2 linked regions of the Cricetulus griseus genome follow. The protein of the gene in region 2 interacts with the protein of the main gene of each other region in a pairwise test. Links are inferred from orthologs where the notes say so. Each region holds a gene or a part of one and is shown on either strand. Other genes may lie near its edges. The genes, in order: Grb7 and Lax1.

Region 1 (9,811 bases), on a different chromosome or scaffold from region 2:
GGACAAAGAAAACCGGAGGTGCGGGCGCTGAGAGAAGGGTCTGCTGTGCAGGGGCAGGAAGAGAGTGCGTGGCGGCTCATGTAAGCCTGTCTTGAGGCTGAAGCTGGGGAAAGACCTAGGTCCGGGTCTGGGTCTTCATGGCAGGATGGGACAGTGTGCACCTGAGGGCCAGATGGTGATCTTTTCAGCCTTTTTTGCCCTTGCCCCCCAGGAATGCGATGCCTTCTGGGTTGTGAGTCTGTGCTAGCTTGGACTCTGCTCTCCCTCGTGTGTGTGTGTGTGTGTGTGTGTGTTGTACACCTCCCCAAAAGTAAAATAATGATTAACTCTGCAGGGAACTCTACTGGAAATTCTAGCATTCTTCCCAAATTAAACATTACAAGAATTGTCCCGCCCCCTCTATTCCATTGGGTGTTTTTTTCCTGAGCGGAGTGGGCGGAGCATCAACTTCGGGTCAACTAAGGGTTTCCTGCCTCCTCATCTGGTCCAGGCACCCCTAAAGGTTAAGCCCCCCACTTTCCTCCCCAAGTCGTGATGGGGGTTGGATTGGTGTACTAGATCAGAAGCGGACTGCCCGGGCCACTGGCTCCCCAACCCTTCCCCCTAAACCTGAGAAGAGTGGATGGTGGCCCTGTTTGCTGTTGGCCCCAAACATTTAGGCCTTGCTACTCGCCTTGGGGTTTGCTAGGTGGGGCAAGATTCAGGAAGTAAACAAGGCGGCTGGAAGGGTAGGAGAGAGGGTGGGGCGGGAGCTGCTGGGGCTGGATAGCCAGAGTTGGAGTGGCCTGGCTGAGAGGACTAGTTGGTTGGGGGCCCAGTTTCTACACGGGAAGATTTGCTTAGGCCTAGTTTGACTGTTTCAGCTCTCTTGGGCAGGGGCTGCGGGGCCCAGAGCAGGCTCCTATGCCCCACCTTATCTTTTAGGTACCGACAGCTGCTAGTCTTCTCCAGATGAAGGGTGGGGTGGAGGGCTCTGGAAGCTAACCCTAGTGCAGCCGGCACCTGGGCCTCTGACATCAGACTGTAATCTGACTTGAATCCACACCCCCCCCCATTTCAAACACCTGTCCAGCCGGGTGTTGTTTTCTCACTTTGAGGGAGGGGCACCCCGGCAGAGGAGGACCCCCATTCCTGAAATGAAAGATCAGGTGTGTGGGAGTGGGTGCCAGGTGTTGATGCCCCTTGCTTGGTGACTTGGGCATGCTAAGTGTCACGAGTGTCTTGCTTGCTCTGCTTGGCTCTCCTGGAGTTATGTTGTCAGTCTGTTTGCCTGTCCTCTTGGGTGTTTTGACTCCACTCCTGCCTGATGGTACCTCTCAGGTCAGGACATCCCAGAGTGTGTTCAGAGACCCTCTTCCACGGAGCAATACACAGGAGTCCCCAAGGCCAGATGCATCAGCATACATCCTAGGATAATTAACAGCGAAGAGAGTTGCAGGTTCCAGACCTAGGCTAGGCAGGACTGGATGCTGCCTGCACATCACCAGGAGGTCGGCTCCAATCCTGATAGGCTCCTGGATCCAGGCCGGGCATTTCCTCCTACCTCCCTGGGTTATAGGCAGGGTGATGGTTTGGGACTAAGGTGGGCAGATGATTAGTCCCACCTGGGCTGGACACTGGCCAAGGGTGGGGAGGATGATGTCAGAGGAGCCTCGGGCTGCTCCTCCCATTTTCATCTTTCCCCAGCCTGCACCCCTTGCTCCCAGGCTACCTGTAGGTTGGGGAGTCAGGGACTGAGGGCAGAGGCAGGTTGTTTGTGTTCCTCCTCAGCCAGGAAGTCCTATAGATGAGTCAAAGTTGAATGGGGAGCCTGGGGCATAGCTGTCCCGCCCCGCCCTGACTCACCTGTCCCCCAGATCCCTTCATGCCCTCACAGAAGGGTCAAGAGTTTGTCCTATCCTGGTGCCAGGAACCTTCCCAGGTGTCCTGGGCAGCCTCACAGTCCTGATGCAGGGTCTGGAGAACAGGCAGGATACTGGGATTGGCATTTTGTCTGGGTTCTGCCAGGTTCAGCACCATGGGGTCTGCTGGTTCCTGCAGAGAAAGGCTGGAACCTGCCCCACCCCCAACCCCTTGCCTGGTCTCGTCTGTCCTTACTTGTCCTAACTTCTCTGCACCCGTGGGTGCTAAGGCATAGGTGAGACTCTAATGTGTGCCAGGTGCTTTCAGACCAGAGATGGGTTAAGACAGGTGCACAGTAGTGGGGGTAGAGTTCCCAGCACCAGGCTGAGTGTGACAAGTCCAAGAGAACTTCTCATCCATAGGAGGTGGCTTTATCATTGTGGCTTTGGGTAAAAATTGGGTGGGATGAGGAGTCTGGGAAGGCCCACCGAGTTTGTGGGTGCTGGGGTAAGAGCCCCCCAGGCCTCCTGTTTCCACCACAACCTGAGCACATGGTCCTGCCCTCCTGATCCTGTCCTTCCTAATCGCCTCTCTCTATCACTCATCTCTCTGCCAGGTGTTACCACAACAGGCCTGGCAAACTGCATCTGGCAACAGGTGCTAGAACAATAAAGTGCTGGAAAAATCTGGGGCAGAGCCCAGTGGCATGAACAGCCTTTGCCCTGACCCTGTGGCTCCAGCTAGGGACATGTGGCATGGAGCCTACCTCTTCTTTCCCCTGAGCTGGTGTTGCTGCAGGGAGAGCACTGGCATTGGAGTCCCAAGCACCAGACTGAATGCCACTGGGCACATGCGTACTTCCTTCTCAGGACCCCAGTGTTCCTTTCTATGAAGTGGGCGTGCCCTGTATCCCCTCTGAGGGCTCCGAGGAAACTGCAGTTTGAAGGGATCAGCGATAGCACATGGCATCAACATTGTCTTCACAGGTACCATGGAACTGGATCTGAGCCCACCTCATCTCAGCAGCTCCCCAGAAGATGCGTGCCCAGCTCCTGGGACCCCTCCTGAGACTCCTCCACCCCCTGATAACCCTCCAGCTGGGGATGTGAAGCGGTCACAGCCTCTGCCCATTCCAAGCAGCAGGTAGGATCGGACAGTGGGGCTGCATGGGTAGGGAGGTCTGGGGACAGGGAGGCGAGCCAGCACTGACTAACACATAGTGGCTTCCATCCCTCAACTCTGACATAGGAAACTTCGAGAAGAGGAGCTTCAGGTGACCTCGCTACCCTCCATCCCCAACCCGTTCCCTGAGCTCTGCAGCCCGCCTTCACAGAAACCCATTCTTGGAGGTTCCTCCAGTGCAAGGGGGTTGCTTTCTCGAGATTCCAGTCGCCTCCATGTGAGTTGTTTTGGGAAAGGGAACAGTGGGGACAGTGCTGCCCCAGCCCCGGGCAGATGTGGTGTCGCCTCTTTGGTGCAGGTCCCTGAACATAAGTCAGAGAGTAGAGTCCCCCGCCCCTGCCTTGCCCCAAGTAACCTGCAGTTCCTGGGGTACAGGTGGTGAAGGTGTACAGTGAGGATGGGACCTGCCGGTCTGTGGAGGTGGCAGCGGGTGCCACAGCTCGACATGTGTGTGAAATGCTGGTACAGCGAGCCCATGCCCTGGGTGATGAGAGCTGGGGCCTGGTGGAATGCCATCCCTATTTAGCACTGGGTGAGTCGGGGTACAAGGAGCTGTGGGGCGATGTCTTGGGCAAGATAGGTGGCTCATCTGTGAGGCTTGGTTAATTTCTACCAACCCCTGCTTTTCACCCTTGATCTCAGAGCGGGGTGTGGAGGACCATGAGTTTGTGGTGGAAGTGCAGGAGGCCTGGCCTGTTGGTGGAGATAGTCGCTTTGTCTTCCGCAAAAACTTTGCCAAGTATGAACTGTTCAAGAGCCCCCCGGTGAGTGGGAACTGGGTGTACACACACACACACACACACACACACACACACACACACACACACTCTAGATCCCTAGCCTGGATTCTTGAGCGTTGATTCCTAACTATTTCTTTCTTCCCTAGCATACACTGTTCCCAGAAAAGATGGTCTCCAGCTGTCTGGATGCACAAACAGGCACATCTCATGAAGACCTCATCCAGGTGAGGTCTGCCTCACCATAGATCCACAATTCTCCCTACCCCCTTACCCCAAGTCATCCAGTGTTTCTACCCTCTGCTGCCATGTGTGATCTGATCTGTGTTTGTTGGTGTCTGCCGCCACCATGGTGACCTTTGCTGGTGAAATGGTGGCAGTCAGTGCTGGTGCAGCACCTCCTGCGGAGGTTTGAGAGGAGGCAAGCCCTTCACCCCTGTTCACATCTGTCCCCAGAACTTCCTGAATGCCGGCAGCTTCCCCGAGATCCAGGGCTTTCTGCAGCTTCGGGGCTCTGGCCGGGGCTCAGGCCGAAAGCTTTGGAAACGGTTCTTCTGCTTTCTGCGCCGGTCCGGCCTCTACTACTCCACCAAGGGCACGTCCAAGGTGAGGTCTTGAGGTCAGCTCTCGCCTGTCATGTACTTCTTCCTCACTAGTGCTTCTTGACCCTTCCATCTTGGGCCCGGGGATCCTCAGCTGCTCTTCCTTCCCCTTGGGCTGGCTGTCTTCAGGCCATGCCAGAATCTATCCATCCCAACCCCTGTTTGGCTCACCTACCCTAGGAATGGCAGTAGAAAACATAGGCGCCTGTGTGTGTGTGTGTGTGTGTGTGTGTGTGTGTGTGTGTGTGAGAGAGAGAGAGAGAGAGAGAGGGAGAGGGAGAGGGAGAGGGAGAGGGAGGAAGGGAGGGAGGGAGGGAGAGAGAGACATTGTTAGCCATCACCATTGGTCTCAGGTCTTCAGGACCTTGTTTTTGAAGACAGGGTCCCTACTAGGACCTAGGACTTGCAGATTAGGTCAGGCTGAGTGGCAACCCCACACGGGGATTAGAAGTGTATAGCATTACATCCAGCTCTTTAAGTGGGTGCTGGGGATTAAACTTGGGTCCTCCTGCTTGCACAGCAAGCCTTTTACCAACTGAGCCCTCTCCTCAGCCTCTATCTGCTGTGTGAACATGGGTATTTCCCTGCCTCTCCCTGGTCCTAAACTCTCTTTACCTGGTGGGGCACTAATGTGGAGATAGGACCTACCTGTACCAAGCCCTACTTTCTCACCATGCCCAGGACCCGAGGCACCTACAGTATGTGGCAGATGTGAATGAGTCTAATGCCTATGTGGTGACCCAGGGCCGCAAGCTCTATGGGGTGCCCACGGACTTCGGCTTCTGTGTCAAGGTGAGGACTCAAGCAAGGCCTGGTGTGTGTGGGGGGGCGGTGAGAGCTGTCCAAATTCTAGTGTCCTGCCTATGGCTTGTGAACCCCGTCTTGAGAAACCCAGCCAATTACCGCTATACCTGCACATCTGGGTAGTCCTTGGGCCCTTCTTTGCCCCGTGGCAACTGGGCACAGAATCAGACAGGGGACAGACCACTTCCTCTCTCCCAGCCCAACAAGCTTCGAAATGGCCACAAGGGCCTCCACATCTTCTGCAGTGAGGATGAGCAGAGCCGGACCTGCTGGCTCACTGCTTTCCGTCTCTTCAAGGTAAGACCCCTGGAACAGCAGGGGGGCTGGCCTTGCCTGAGGGAGGTGACATGGCTCTGCCTTCAGGAAGTCTTCCCAGTAAGAGGTCACCATAGCCGGGCTTCTGAGAATACCAGTCAGGAAGGGCAGGGTCAGCCCTACTCTGGAGAAGTCCTGGCCTGAGGGGTGTCACAGCCCATCTCCTAGGCTCTCTTGACCTCAAACCTCTTTTCTTCCCCTGCCTCAAGTATGGGATGCAGTTATATAAGAACTATCAGCAGACTCAGTCTCGTCACCTGCGCCTGTCCTATTTGGGGTCTTCGCCCTTGGTGAGTATACTCAGGGGTATTAGGAGAGGTGAGGATACAGGCTCAGGGCAGCTATTCTGACCCCTCCCTCCTCCTTCTGTCCTTTTTGCAGAGGAGTGTTTCAGATAATACCCTAGTGGCCATGGACTTCTCTGGCCATGCTGGGCGTGTCATAGAGAACCCCCGGGAAGCTCTGAGTGCCGCCATGGAGGAGGCCCAGGCCTGGAGGGTAAGCCCTGCGTGCATCCGTGTTTGCTGCACTGGCTCCCAGTGGGCTTTCATGGAGTGGGAGGGAGGAAGAGGGGTTGGGGAGAGGGTGAGTGCCAGTGGCACTCTGACTCCCATGCCCCCCACTGCAGAAGAAGACAAACCACCGTCTCAGCCTGCCCACCCCATGCTCCGGCTCGAGTCTCAGCGCAGGTAGGTGACAGTCTAGAGTTCTTAGGGTGGACGATGGTGCTACTCTGAGCCTTCTTGGCTTGGGTCAGGCATGTTTTCCCTGAATGACCAGCATCACTTTTCTCCTGACCCCAGCCATCCACCGCACCCAACCCTGGTTCCACGGACGCATTTCCCGGGAGGAGAGCCAGCGGCTAATTGGACAACAGGGTCTGGTGGATGGGTAAGAGGCTGGGCTGGGTGGGGTAACTGACCTGGGGACCAGCAAGACCCTAGGGCAGGTGCAACCAGGAATCCCTGGTAACGTGGTTTTGTCTCCTCAAAGTGTGTTCCTGGTCCGGGAGAGTCAGCGCAACCCACAGGGCTTTGTTCTGTCCTTGTGTCACCTGCAGAAAGTCAAGCATTACCTCATCCTACCAGTGAGTAACTCCCCTATTTATAACTTGGGTTCTCGTAGCCCGGGGAAACACGACTTGAAGTCCTACTATGCGCCTCCTTTTTCCCTGTACAAGAAACGGGGGTCAATTGCTGGTCCCAAGGGCTGCTCCTCCGCTCGGGACGGCTCCCTGACCTGCCCTCTGGCCACACCACAGAGCGAAGATGAGGGTTGTCTCTACTTCAGCATGGACGACGGCCAGACCCGTTTCACAGACCTGCTGCAGCTGGTGGAATTCCACCAGCTGAACCGAGGCATCCTGCCCTGTGTGCTGCGCCATTGCTGTGCCCGTGTGGCCCTCTGAGGCCACTGGAGCCGTTACAGCCCATGGGGCTGCCCACCACCCTTCTGTTCAGTGAACTTGGTGCAGGTGGATGGCATGATGAACTACTGGAGCTCCCCCCATACTCCATTCCACTTTTCTCCTGTGTCTTTACCTCCCTCAGGCAACAAAACATCCCCCGACCCTGTTCATCCCTGAGTCCTGTCCCCAAGGGAGGCATTTGTGGTCCTCTCCTCAGGAGCTCCTGAGGCACTGTTCCAGCTCGGGGCATTATGCAAGAAGAAAGCGCAGCCCCGGTGGTCTAGTGCCCCACACCCTGTACAGACAAAGAGGCCAGTTGATCTGCTCTGTTTTATACTAGTGACAATAAAGATTATTTTTTGATACACCCATGAGTTCTGTCTGGCAAGAAGAGACAACAAGAGGACCCTCAGAGGTGAAGGTGTTGGTCAACCAGAATATGCCCTGAGCACAAAATTGGTGTTAGTGGCCTGGGAGCTTTCATATCCTAGCAAGGACTCTGGCACAGTCAGTGAGTGCTAGTTAAATGGATGAGTGGACAATGGGTAACAAGGGACTGTGCTTTTTTTTTTCATTCTTTTTTATTTTTATTTTTGTTTTTCAAGACAGGGTTTCTCTGTGTAGCTTTGGAGCCTATTCTGGCACTTGCTCTGTAGACCAGACTGGCCTCAAACTCACAGAGATCCATCTGTCTCTGCCTCCAGGGTGCTAGGATTAAAGGTGTGTGCCACCACCGCCCGGCCTCATTCTCTTTTAAAAAGGACTTTTTAAAAAGTATGTATTAGATCTATGTGAGGAGTTGAGTATGTGTACATGTGAGTGCAATTGCTCAAGGAAGCCAGAAGGGGGAGTTGGATCCCTTGGAGCTGTAGCTACAGGCAGCCAGGAGCTGTCTGCTGTGGATTCTGGGAACCAGACTCAGGTCTTCCGCAAGAGCATTACCTGCCTTTAATGAATGAGCCATCTCTTCAGCCCCAAGGGAGTGGGCTTTTCTGACAGCACTTAGATGTAACAGAGTCTGGGAATCAGAGATGAGCCAGATACGGTAGTATGTGCCTGGAATCTCAGCACTTAGGTAGTAGAGGTAGGAAGAACATTTCTGGGCCAGCCTGGGCTATGTGATACCCCATTTGCCCACTTCCCTTCTCCCCACAAACAAAAACAAGATGAGTCAACAAGAAGTCTTGGACTAGTTGGTGGACAGTGAGCCCTGACAAACAAACACCACAGCGGAGAGAATGGTCTCACTTCCCACAAGCCCCTGTGTCTTCCACCAGCTCTTTCCCCCACATGCCCCTATGTCTTCCACCAGCTCTTTCCCCCACAAGCCCCTGTGTCTTCCACCAGCTCTTTCCCCCCACAAGCCCCTGTGTCTTCCACCAACCCCTCTCTCTTTCCAGGTCCAGGTTTGCTTTCTGTCCTTATCCCTCACCCAGAAAGGGGATAAATCCGCAGCCCCACGCCCATCACCCTCTCAGCCTTCGCTTCCAGAATGAGCTTTTGCAAAGTGCAAACTTGTCCTCTGCTCAGCCAGGCTACATTTTCCCCAAGAGTTTCACGCCATCTAACCCGATAGAAGCTTTATAATAAGTGCATCCACCGACACACTCAGTATATACTAAGTGAGTCCAATGGCAACACCTGCACCTCCTGCTTGAGTTGCTCAGAGACGTCTCCTAAATTGTGAATCCCAAGCAGACATTATTTTGCCAGAAGAAGTCAAACTTGACTCTGGTTCTGTGGACTTAATAACTAGTTTACCAGAAATATGAGGGCCAGAGGAACACATGAATTGACACATGGGGACAGTTAGCAAAACCTGGACTTGGAAACTACAGAAGGGGTGGCTCAGTTTCTACTTCAACAATAACAACAGAAATGACAAGAAAAGCAAAGACGGGGAATGTCTACATTCTAAGAAATTCAGATGTGACAACCAAATGATTCAGATCCAAACTCACTGTAAAAATACGTTCATGAGCAATTGGGGGATGTTTTAACTTTTGTGATATTAGGGAATATGGTTAAGTTTTAGAAAAAATGTAAGGTACGAAAATGGCATGGTAGCTACCTCCCCCCACCCCCTGCCCCCACCTCTCGAAAAGACATGTTCTAGCTGCATGGGATTGTGAAGTGTAATCCCAGCACTGTTCTGGCAAGCTCCTGGCAAACCTAGGCTACATGGTGAGACTATCTCAACAAATACCAACAACCCAGAAGGGCGTTGGGGGACAAAAGGGAGGGAGACTCATTTGAAGTATTTCAGGTGAGACATGTCTCGGTTTTCCTGAGACAGGGTCTCACTCTGTGTTTCTGGTTAGGCTGAAATTTGCTAGGTAGACCAGGCTGGCTAGCTTGGAACTCACAGAGATCTACCTGCCCCTGGTAGACCTCTGTCCCCCATCCTTGTCTTAGTTAGGGTTTCTATTGCTGTGAAGAGACACCATGACCACATCAGCTCTTATAAAGGAAAACATTTAATTGAGATGGCAGCTTACAGTTTCAGAGGCTCAGTTCATTATCATCATGGCGGGGAGCAGGGCGGCGTGCACACAGACATGGTGCTGGAGGAGGAGCTGAGAGTCCTACACCTTGCCGGCAACAGGAAGCCAACTGAGACACTGGGTGGTACCCTGAGCATAGGAAACCTCAAAGCCCACCCCACAGTGACACATTTCCCACCCCACAGTGACACATTTCCCCCAACAAGGCTATACCCATGCCAACAAAGCCACACCTCCTAATAGTATCATTCCCTGTGAGATTATGAGGGCTGAATTACATTCAAACTGCCACAGTCCCCAAACTCCAGTGTAGAGATTAGAAGCATGTGTCACCATGTCCAGCTTGGCTTCATTTTTCAAAAGACCCATATTTGTTGATGCCCTCACTACTTTTCATATGTTTGAAAAAGATCTCAC
Region 2 (9,896 bases):
AGAAATGAAGGGAAACCAACACTGGATCTTAGCTGATTTCCCCATGGTCAGATGCCCCTTTGTGGTTAAACATCCTTGAAGCTGAAATTAAGTTCTTCCTGCTATTGAAGGGACCAGCTCCCCATTTCGGCAGCCATAACAGCCGAACACATGCTTTTCTGATCTCGCCTTGGTCACTAGAGGTTAGGTGCTTGCCTCGTGGCAAGGAACCAATCAGAAGTTAGCTGGTGGTGCTATGCTTTACGGCTCTGGGTGTGCTTTACAGTCAAGCACACAACAATGACACGCAGAGCATAGCAACCACCCTGGGAGGGCCTATGGGCCATAACAACCAGTTGACCAATCAACACAGGGCAAACCCTCCAAGCCTGGAGGCACACCAATCCTGAGCCTGTGCGTACCCCTAGACACTCCCCTTTTGCTGCCCTATAAGATCTCTATGCAGCCGCCTCAAACTGTTTTTGCTAGCCATCCGCCATGATGGGTGGATGAAAGACCCGAGCTAACATGGGATTAGCTCGTTAAACAACAATAAAGCCTCATGCAGTTTGCATCAAGCTTTCGACTCAGCATGGGGATTGGGGTGGCCGAGGTCCTGGGCTGAGATTCTGGAGGCCTGAACTCTCCGAAGGTCTTACACTATATTAGAAACCAAGACTCCTATACACATGCACTCAAAAAACTGATGTTATTGTATTACTTTGCATTATGGTTTTGACATCTTCCAATATTTGTAGGGATCATGAGAAGAAATCCTCTAAAAGGGAGACCTGGCCCACCCTGATTTGGAAAGAGAAGGTCACCTTACTCTGTGACAAAGCCACCTACCTCATACATATTCATAAAAGTTTCTTTAAAATCAACAGTGCACTACTCATTGAGTTGTTTCTTGCCTTGTAGCACTTACTGTTAAAGCAATCTCTCTTTAGTGTTTGCTTTGCTTACCTTTTCTAAATAAACTTTAGTTTAAATTGTATGTCTGTTGCTTGTATTTGTTCCTTCAAGAAGAGCTCCCTTGTAATACAAGGATTTAGAATGGGAGCCGGACAAAGGATGTTGAGGTGAAGGGAATGAAATAGAGCAAGAGCAAGTCATATCTGGGGTCTGGAGAAATTGCTCAGTGGCTGGGAGTGTTGGCTGCTCTTTCAGGGGGTTGGGGTCCAGTTCCCTGCACACACTGGTGTCTCACAACCCTCTGTAACTCCAGTTCTGGGAGATTCAATGCCTCTGGCCTCTGAGCATACAGACCCACATGAGCACGCACACACACAACTATATATAATTAAAAATAACAAAAAAGAAAGGAAAGTCAGCTCTGAATAGCAACTTCATGGAGAGAGGAGCTTTACACATGGGAAAGGGAGCCATTCCTTTGAAGGCTTACCAGGTGCTAGGGGCTTGCATATGAAACTTATCATTTAATCTTCGCAAAGCCATCTGTGCCAAAGGATCCTGAGACCAGAAAGGAAAAGCAACACAGCCAAGATCTCATAGGGCAGAAGGCACAGAGCCAGAAATAAGAGTCTAGGTTGGCTGGGCACTGGTTGTGCAAGCCTTTAATCCCAGCAGAGGCCGAGGCAGAGGCAGGTGGATCTCTGTGAATTCGAGGCCAGACTGGTCTACAGAGCAAGTGCCAGGATAGACTCCAAAGCTACACAGCGAAACCCTGTCTTGGAAAACCAAAAAAGGAAAAAAAAAAAAAAAAAAAAAAAAAGTCTAGGTTGGTTTAAGTCCAGAGATCATTCTTTTTCTACTCTTACACTATCTGCAAACTTCCAAAGCCAAATGCATCTGGCCAGGTTTTTCTGTCATTCCTGCTCCCGGGTTTCCTGGCTTTGCTGGGAGAGGATTACTCAACTCACTATCAGGGAGTGGCTCTGTAACAGAGTCCAGTTTACATGAACTTGAGTAACCCCCAGATGTGGGCTGGTCTCTAAGCAACACTAGCCTGTTGGGTGAAATTTAACCAACACTAGTTTTGAGCAGTCTTTCAATTCTCAGGCAGGGTGCAGCCACGGCTCAGCTCCGGTGTTGAAATGCATCCAAGGATTGCAACATCAGGCATCCACACCCACTCTAGCAGGAAGTAAGCAGTGGAAACCCAGCAGGAACAAGGAGCTGACCCCCACATATTAAATCTGGGCCATATCTGGAAAGATTTTTGTATTGCTGAGTTCTGGGTATATTGACCCAATTTTCTATTGGCCGTTTCTCTTAAGTTGTCCAATAGAGATCTCAAACCAAAACTGGGCTCCCATTCTGCCTCCATATACTGGCTTTTCCTCTAGACTTCCAACCATATAGCACTACAGTCTAAATGCTTGACACCACTCCTGCCTGACTGTTCTTTCATGCCCTATTTCCAGTTAATCAGCTTTGCCCTGGGCAAGGGCATCTGCTTCAAGTCCAGTCACCTCTATTTCTTTCATTGTCACCACAGTGGCATAAGCCAACATGAGTTCCAGGGGGACTTTTGCAGTGGTCACCTCCTTATTGGCTCGCCTGGCTTTCACTCTTGGCTTCAACATACCATGCTCACCTGTGAACTAGTATGATCACTGTAAAGAGTAAGTCATATCATGTCTCTCCTCCACTGAGAATCTTCCATGGCTTTACATCATACTGACAATGAATGTAATACTCAGTGAGATTATTTTTTCTTCATAATGTGATCTGGCATCTCCTGATTAACTTCGGGGCTCATTTCCAACCCCTTCAGCTCTGATGTGGACCACCATAATTTCTTGCTGTTCTGGCCCATATGAAGAATAGTTTTATCTCAGATCTACCTCTCCTTCTCCAGGTACTCAGAATGGCCAAGTTCCTCATTTCATTTAAGTCTCTTTTACAGTGTTGTCATCTCCTTAGAGAGATCTTCCCTGGTCATACTACATTTATTTGGTTATCTGTTTGCCATCAAACACTGCCACTGACTGTAATCTTCAAGAAGCCATGGACTTGTCTATTCACTCAGCATCTTAAACAGCACCTCTGACGTAGAATCTTAATGAATATTTGTCCAATGATATGTGAATGAAATAAATAACGAATGAACGCAGAAATAGTTTTGAGGATAATGCAGTCGCTGTGGGAAATGACTTATGGCAATTATCCCAAAAATTAAAAATAGAGCCACCATATGTTATGCCAACCCCACTGCTAGATCTCTGTTCAAAACAAATAAAAGCCGTGTTGCCTGCACCCTCCTGTTTATTAGAGCTGTTTGTACTGCCATGTTCATTGTAGCAAAATTCACAATAGCCAAATATGGAGTCAAGCTGAGCATCTACCATCAGACGAATGGATAGAGAGTGTGGAGTACATTTACAATGGGTACCACTCAGCTTTAAAAAGGGAAGACGTTCATGTCGTATGTGATAAGGTGGATGGACCTGGAGGACATAGTGTTAAGTGAACAAAGCTAGGAGCAGACAGATGCTGCATAATCTCATTTAGATGCGGAATCTAAAAAGACTGAACTCATAAAGCAGGAGTATGGTGGTCATCAGGGGTGGCTCGAGGGGTCCCTGAGATGTTGGTCAAAGGTTAGATGGAAGGAAGAAGTTCAACATGGTAATGTTGAAAATTACGTATTTTTGAACATTGCTTAAATTGTTATTTGACGTATCCTCTCATAAAAAGTATGTCACTAATACATGTGTTACTTAGCTCAACTTAGCCATCTACAATGTGTACATATTTCAAAACAACATGCTTAAATACAGTATAAAAATACAAATTTTACTTTGTAGTTACAAAGTTAAAAAGAAAAAGGAAATAACAACAAAACAAAAATCGATTTAAAAAAGCAATAGTTTTAAGAGTTAGTGAGCTGACTCAGTGGGTAAAGGTATCCACTGTCAAACCTGCCACTCTGAGTTTGATCCCTGAGGCCCACATGGTGAAAGACCCAATCCCTGCACCCTGACCTCTCCACCCTTCTACTCCCCCACAACAAAAATTTAAAAAAAAAAAAAGAAAAAAAAAGGAAATAGCTTTGGGAGGTTGCTTCAGGCTTCAACAATGATACGAACTCATGTCTTTTTAGCAGGCATCTTTTACCTGCAAGGGACATGCAGGATTTTCTCTGGTAATACTAATAAATTTTCCTAAAACTACAATAATTGAAAAGGTTTCACGCCCACTAGCATTTCTGAAGTCTCACCACCCAATAGACTTTTGTTTATCTGAGATTGAGAACTTCAGGGGTGAATTTACATCCATGATTAGTCTGTAAGATCTGATGTCTTATGACTTTTTTTTTTTCAAGACAAGGTTTTTCTGTAGCTTTGGAACTTGTCCTGGAATTTGCTCTGTAGACCAGGCTGGCCTCGAACTCACACCTACCTCTGCCTCTCAAGTGCTTGCATTAAAGAAGTGTGCCACCACTGCCCAGCAGCTTTATGACTGCTATCTCTACATTTACAACTCATGACAAGGTTTTAGGATCTAAAATCTCATTGCTGGGGAACTAGGGCTCTTGTTTTTATCATAGTGGGACAAGAGATTAGAAAGATTGAAGTCAAGGCCTCTGAGAGGAAGGAAATCCAATCAGAAATTCAGCTGTCAGTCCTCCACCTCCATCTCCTTCCTTCCCTCCCAGCTCACAGTTTGCTGGTCCTGGTGGCCCAGGCCTGGATTGTAGGTGTGGCAGCACTACCAGGGACAGTGGCATTTACTTCCCCAGAGCACTCACCCTTCCAGGCTGCCAAGAGTCCCCTGCGAAGTGCTGGGCCCTGAGTTCCTCCTTCTTGTGACATCTGGTGGGGCTGGTGTGGTGTACATCCCTGGAACCTCTCAGGGGCTCTGCAGCATTTAAGTCTTCTCCGTGTCAATATTGACTAGCCAGTATTGTTGCCCTTTTCTTGACTCTTTCTAAGTTGCTGATTCGTAGGAAAAAAAGGCAAATTGGTATGTATTTTGCATACAACCACCTTTGTTTAAAAAAAAGGGAAAAAAGCAGATAATATAAGAATGACAGAAAATTCTCCAAATCTCCATATTTTCCCAAATGTATCTCTCTTTACTCTTGAAATTTCTTTTTCTTTCAATTTTTTTAAGTCTTTATTTTATATGCATTGGCACTTTGACTATGGGTGACAGATCACCTGGAACTGGAATTACAGTCAGTTGTGAGGTGCCATGTGAGTGCTGGGAATTGAACCTGGATCCTCTGGAAAAGCAGTCAATGATCTTAACCACTGAGCCATCTCTCCAACTGCTACTCTTGAAATTTCTTATTCATTTACTTAGATGGGGATGCATGTATCTCAAACTAACCTGGGGCTTGCTATATAGCTGTTCATGCAGGGTTTCATACCTCTCAGGGTAGCCTAGAACTCTTTATGTAGCCAAGATATATAGCTGAAGACGACTTTGAATTTCTGATCCTGCTGCCTCTGCTTCCTTAGTACTGGGACTTACAGGCATATGCTACACTCTGTATGAGCACTAGGGTTGGGACTCTGGGACTGTGCACACCGTAGGCAAGCAGTCTACTGTCAGAACACCCCCTGCCAGCCATCCTTCCTAGATTGTACTCACCAAAGGTCTCATATACAAAAAAAGGTTTTGGTTTTTTTTTTAATCTTTCTGAAGATTCTAATCTTCTGTTCTAGAACTTTCTCCAACTGACTCCCTTTTTTGGGCTGGTGTGATGGCTCTTCAGGTAGAGGTGGTGCTTACTGCCAGCCTGATGACCCAAATTTGCCCCCATCACCACTTTCATGGTGGAAGGAGAGAATCAGTTCCCATAAATTGTTCTCTGATCTCTCTCTCTCTCTCTCTCTCTCTCTCTCTCTCCCTCTCTCTCAAACACACACACACACACACACACACACACACACACACACACACACACACTATAAATAAATGTACTACTATACTAACAACAACAATAATAATAAAACCCAAACCTCCCTACCTTCACCTGAAATTCCAGGCTGAGTTGGTACAAGGTTCCAAAGCATCGAGTTTGGTACACTGGGGGTGACCACAATGCCCACTGGAGAAAGCCAGCTGTCTCTCATCCAGGTGTTGATGTTCCCAGTGTGAAGTGGCTGGGCTGGCTCTCTGGTTTCTGCCTGTTGGTGGAAACGTGAGGTACACAGGGGAAAAAAAATGCCCAGAGGTCCAGCAGATCTGTGAGAAACTCTTTCTTCCACCCCCCCAGAGCAGAGTGAAAATGCAAACTGCTCTGGCAGAATGGAAAGAGTCACTGACAGGAAGCACCTTCACCAGTGTGCTAATGAGGCACGGGGCACAGGAAATGCTCAGTTCTCCACAGGCAGCAGGAAACCCATCTTCAGCCCTGCTGTTCCCCACGGGCACTCTGGCATCTGGGGCACACGTGGTTAAAGAGGGTTAGGGAATCAGAGACAGGATTGATCGCTCTGGTTTTCAAAGTGTTATAAGCCTCCAGGTCAAAATTCGGGGGTTTAAAATACTTTGTTGTTTAGTTTTACTTATTTATTCTTAGTACACTTATTTAGTGTGTCTGCACACATACCATGGCACATGTGTGGAGGTCAGAGGACACTTGGGGGAGTCCTTCTCGCCTACCACGTGGGGCTCAGGAAATCAAACTCAGGTCTTCAGAGTTACAGGCAAGTGCCTGGATCAAATGAACCATCTTGCTGACTGTTTTTGTTTGGTTTTGAAGCAGATCTCACTTCATAGCCCAAGCTGGCTAAACCCATGGTACCCTCTTGTCTTAATGTCCCTGGTGGTGGGGTTCCAGGTGTAGGCTAGGCTCAGGGTTCAGAATGGTTCTTTTCTTTTTCTTCTCCTTTTTTTTTTTTTTTTTGATACAGGATTTTTCTGTGTAGTCTTGGCTGTCCTGGAACTCAGTAGACCAGATTGGCCTTGAACTCAGAGATTCATCGGACTCTATCTCCTGAGTGCTGGAATTAAAGGTGTGTGCTACTACTACCTGGCTTTTGTTGTTGTTGTTGTCCCTTCCTTTCCTTTCCCTTCCCTTCCGTTCCCTTTCCTTCCCTTCCCCTTCTTCCCCTCGTCTTCCCTTCCTCCATCCTTTCCTCCCATCCATCCATCCTTTCTTCTCTTCTATCTTTCTTTTTCTTTGAGACCATTCCCTGACCATTCTGTATTTCACTTATGTAGACCAGGTTGGCCTCAAACTCACAGAGATCCTCTAGCCTCTGCCTCCTAAGTGCTGGGATTAAAAAAGTGTACCACCATGCCTGGTTCTTAGCAGGTCTAAATAGCACTAGAAGTAGTTGTTTAGAGAGAAGTGCGGATCTGGCACCTGCTTGTGGTTCCGTGGGTGGACAGGCCTTATAAATAGATTCTCAGTAGGTGATAGTACCAGAAGCAGTGTTTCACACTTTGTGTACCTCTGTTCCGGTGTCATGGTGGGAATGGAACTGAGCCTGGGTTGCAGGACCTCTGGAGGCTGTTTCTTTGTTGGGACTCGGGGCTGCTGGCAAGGGGGCATCTGTTGCTGGCTTGCCTCTTCTGTAGTTCAATATCAATCCTGGGTAGCCTCTGATTTCAGGTGCCAGTGGTTCCTCCGTAGCGCTGACCTGAAGGTTCCAATCTTAGGAGAATGCTCTGAGTTTGTTTCTAACTCCCCTTCCTTTTTGCTCCACGTATGTTCAGAAGAGTGAATAGAGCATGCAGAGAGCCTCTCAACTGCACTTTCCAAACCAGTTGGGGCGGCAGGAAGATGAAAGGGATGACCATCAGTGCCTTTGTCACCAGGCCTCTCCCTGACCTCTTTCCAGTGGACATTGGAGTCCTTGGCTTCCAGAGCCCAGACAAGCTCTGCCTGTTCTGGCTCTCCCAGGGCTCTAGGATGCTGCAGACTAGTCCTGTAGTCTTCATGAAACCCCACCATGCCAGGCTCTCACCACCTTCCCTCTGGGGAGCCTGCTTATCTGGAAACAGATGGTTTGGTGGCAGTTGGCTCCAGAGCTGGAACCTAAGTCTCTGCCTACATTTCTTTTAGGTCTGAATGAAAACTAGGATTCCTCACTAGATCCCTTGCATTAGAAGACTGGTGGTCAGGCTGCCCTTGTGAGTCATTGTAAGCTATGGCACATGCTGTGTGAGCTGGGACCTTGACTGGAGCCTCACAGGAAGGCAGGGGGAGCCGACCTCAGAACCCTGAACTAAAAAAGCGTTTCCCTCTGTGTGTAATCATCTCTTTTGTTTACCCAGACTGCTGCAGCCAGACCAGCATTCCCTCCTGGTGTCCCATGCTGCTACCATGCCTGAGGGAAACAACCTCAGAGGGATTCTCTTCTCCGGCTGCTAGCCCCACATCCCTCTACTATCCTGTTCCCTGTCCTTCCACAAGTCTAACCTGGCTAATAAACAAATTAAGATAAGAATACTTTCTCAGAATAGGGGGAGAAAACTACTTGTTTCTGGGAAATGAGGTGGTGCACGCTTTGAGCCGGATTCTTTTAGTGTTCCTTGAAACCCCTCTGTGACATGACCATAAACTGTTGGGACTGGTTTTATTTTTGCTTTTTTTTTTTTTTTTTTTTGGTGGGGTCATGCTAAGTGGCCCAAGTTGGTCTTGAACTACCTCTGCCTCCAAGTGCTGGAATTAAAGGCATTCATGTACCACCACTGCCCGGCTTGAGCAGACTCTTGATGAAGTTGGGGAGTTGAGTGCTATGTCATTAAAGCCTTTAATGCCAGAATCTTTTCTGAAGTCCTCCAGGAAGACACAAGTTCTAATTAAACATCAACTGGGTTCAGATTCTAACCACCCAGAGGGTCCTGGCAGCTCATCTTCTCTTTCTATACTATTTCCTTAGATGTAACTGGCAACAGGAAAAGTTCTTACACAACATTGCTGTGAAAATTAGTTTGACCACTAATGAAAACTGTCTGGCTCAGTACTTGACACACACAGGAGCTCATTAAACAGAGCCTGCTCTGCTATTATAGTGACATTGATCTCGACCTCTTATATTTAATGAATTGCCCCCATTGCCCTCCACGCTCAATGTTACTTTACTCTTTAAACTCGGGTCATTCCTGTAATCTCACTTCTTGGGAGGCTGAAGCAGTAGGATTGAAAGTTTGAGGCCATACTGGGTTCTAATGTAAAAAAAAAAAAAACACAATTCCCCCATCCCATATTTTTGCGGCATCACTCCTTAGGGGACGCACTCTTGGTCCTCCCTTGGCATGGTGGCCGGTCTGGACGGTACTCCCTTTTGGGTGCATGTGTTACACACAGACCCTAGTCAACCTCACTTTGTACAATGGGTGCCCAGGTATCTTCATTTTATCGGCATTTTCTTTTATTTTGTAAAATTCCAGTACAGTACAGTCCTATCTGAAGCTCTGTACTGTTGGTCCTTTCTGGTTTGTAGGCCTTGGGGAAATTGTGACTTTCTTCTCTTAACTCTCACTGCTCAGATTGTCACAACCATCAAATATTGTTTTTAGAAAAAAAAAAAAAGGATAACTATGTTTTTTGTTCTGCTTTGTTTTAAATAAAAGGAAAATATGGCCCAAGAATTACCACCTCTGTGAGCTTTCCCTCTAGGGATCTGGGGCATTCCTCTGTGTCTGCCTCCACAGCTCTGTGCAGGACATGGTCTTGCTCATGTAGTGGGGGCTCCTTCCTGCCTTTGATATGTGTCTGTCTCTCTGAGTGGCCTCTGAGGCCCCTGGGGCAAGAAAGTGGAATTCTGTTTAAGAGCACAGTGTTGCCTCCCAGAGCTAACTGGGTCTCTCACTGGTTTTCTTTAGTGTTTCTTGCTACTGAGTTTGTGATGCACAGTGTGATGGGTGAGATCCTGGGACTGCTCGGTGGCTTTTCATTCTTCCTGCTGGGCACTCTTACCAAGGGATGTCCTCACAGGAAGGAAGCCTAATCTCTTGTGCCTGGTCTTTGCTCTGCAAAGGTGTTA

The links.
Region 1: the proteins of Lax1 (region 2) and Grb7 interact in binary tests that used the Homo sapiens proteins (3 or more experiments, as listed by UniProt). The two-hybrid records come from large-scale screens. The link is inferred for Cricetulus griseus from reciprocal best matches to the Homo sapiens genes LAX1 and GRB7.

The regions. Positions count from the first base shown.
Region 1 is NC_048600.1:111,570,877-111,580,687, forward strand, and holds Grb7 (growth factor receptor-bound protein 7), read left to right. Parts: upstream 1-2,833; coding exon 2,834-2,985; intron 2,986-3,090; coding exon 3,091-3,241; intron 3,242-3,399; coding exon 3,400-3,556; intron 3,557-3,666; coding exon 3,667-3,788; intron 3,789-3,910; coding exon 3,911-3,988; intron 3,989-4,217; coding exon 4,218-4,367; intron 4,368-5,044; coding exon 5,045-5,155; intron 5,156-5,365; coding exon 5,366-5,464; intron 5,465-5,691; coding exon 5,692-5,772; intron 5,773-5,863; coding exon 5,864-5,980; intron 5,981-6,110; coding exon 6,111-6,171; intron 6,172-6,285; coding exon 6,286-6,373; intron 6,374-6,475; coding exon 6,476-6,569; intron 6,570-6,743; coding exon 6,744-6,890; 3' UTR 6,891-7,053; downstream 7,054-9,811. UniProt on the Homo sapiens protein: Adapter protein that interacts with the cytoplasmic domain of numerous receptor kinases and modulates down-stream signaling. Promotes activation of down-stream protein kinases, including STAT3, AKT1, MAPK1 and/or MAPK3. Promotes activation of HRAS.
Region 2 is NC_048598.1:55,499,439-55,509,334, reverse strand, and holds the start of Lax1 (lymphocyte transmembrane adapter 1), read right to left. Parts: upstream 6,472-9,896; 5' UTR 5,924-6,471; intron 4,935-5,923; 5' UTR 4,786-4,934; coding exon 4,697-4,785; intron 1-4,696. UniProt on the Homo sapiens protein: Negatively regulates TCR (T-cell antigen receptor)-mediated signaling in T-cells and BCR (B-cell antigen receptor)-mediated signaling in B-cells.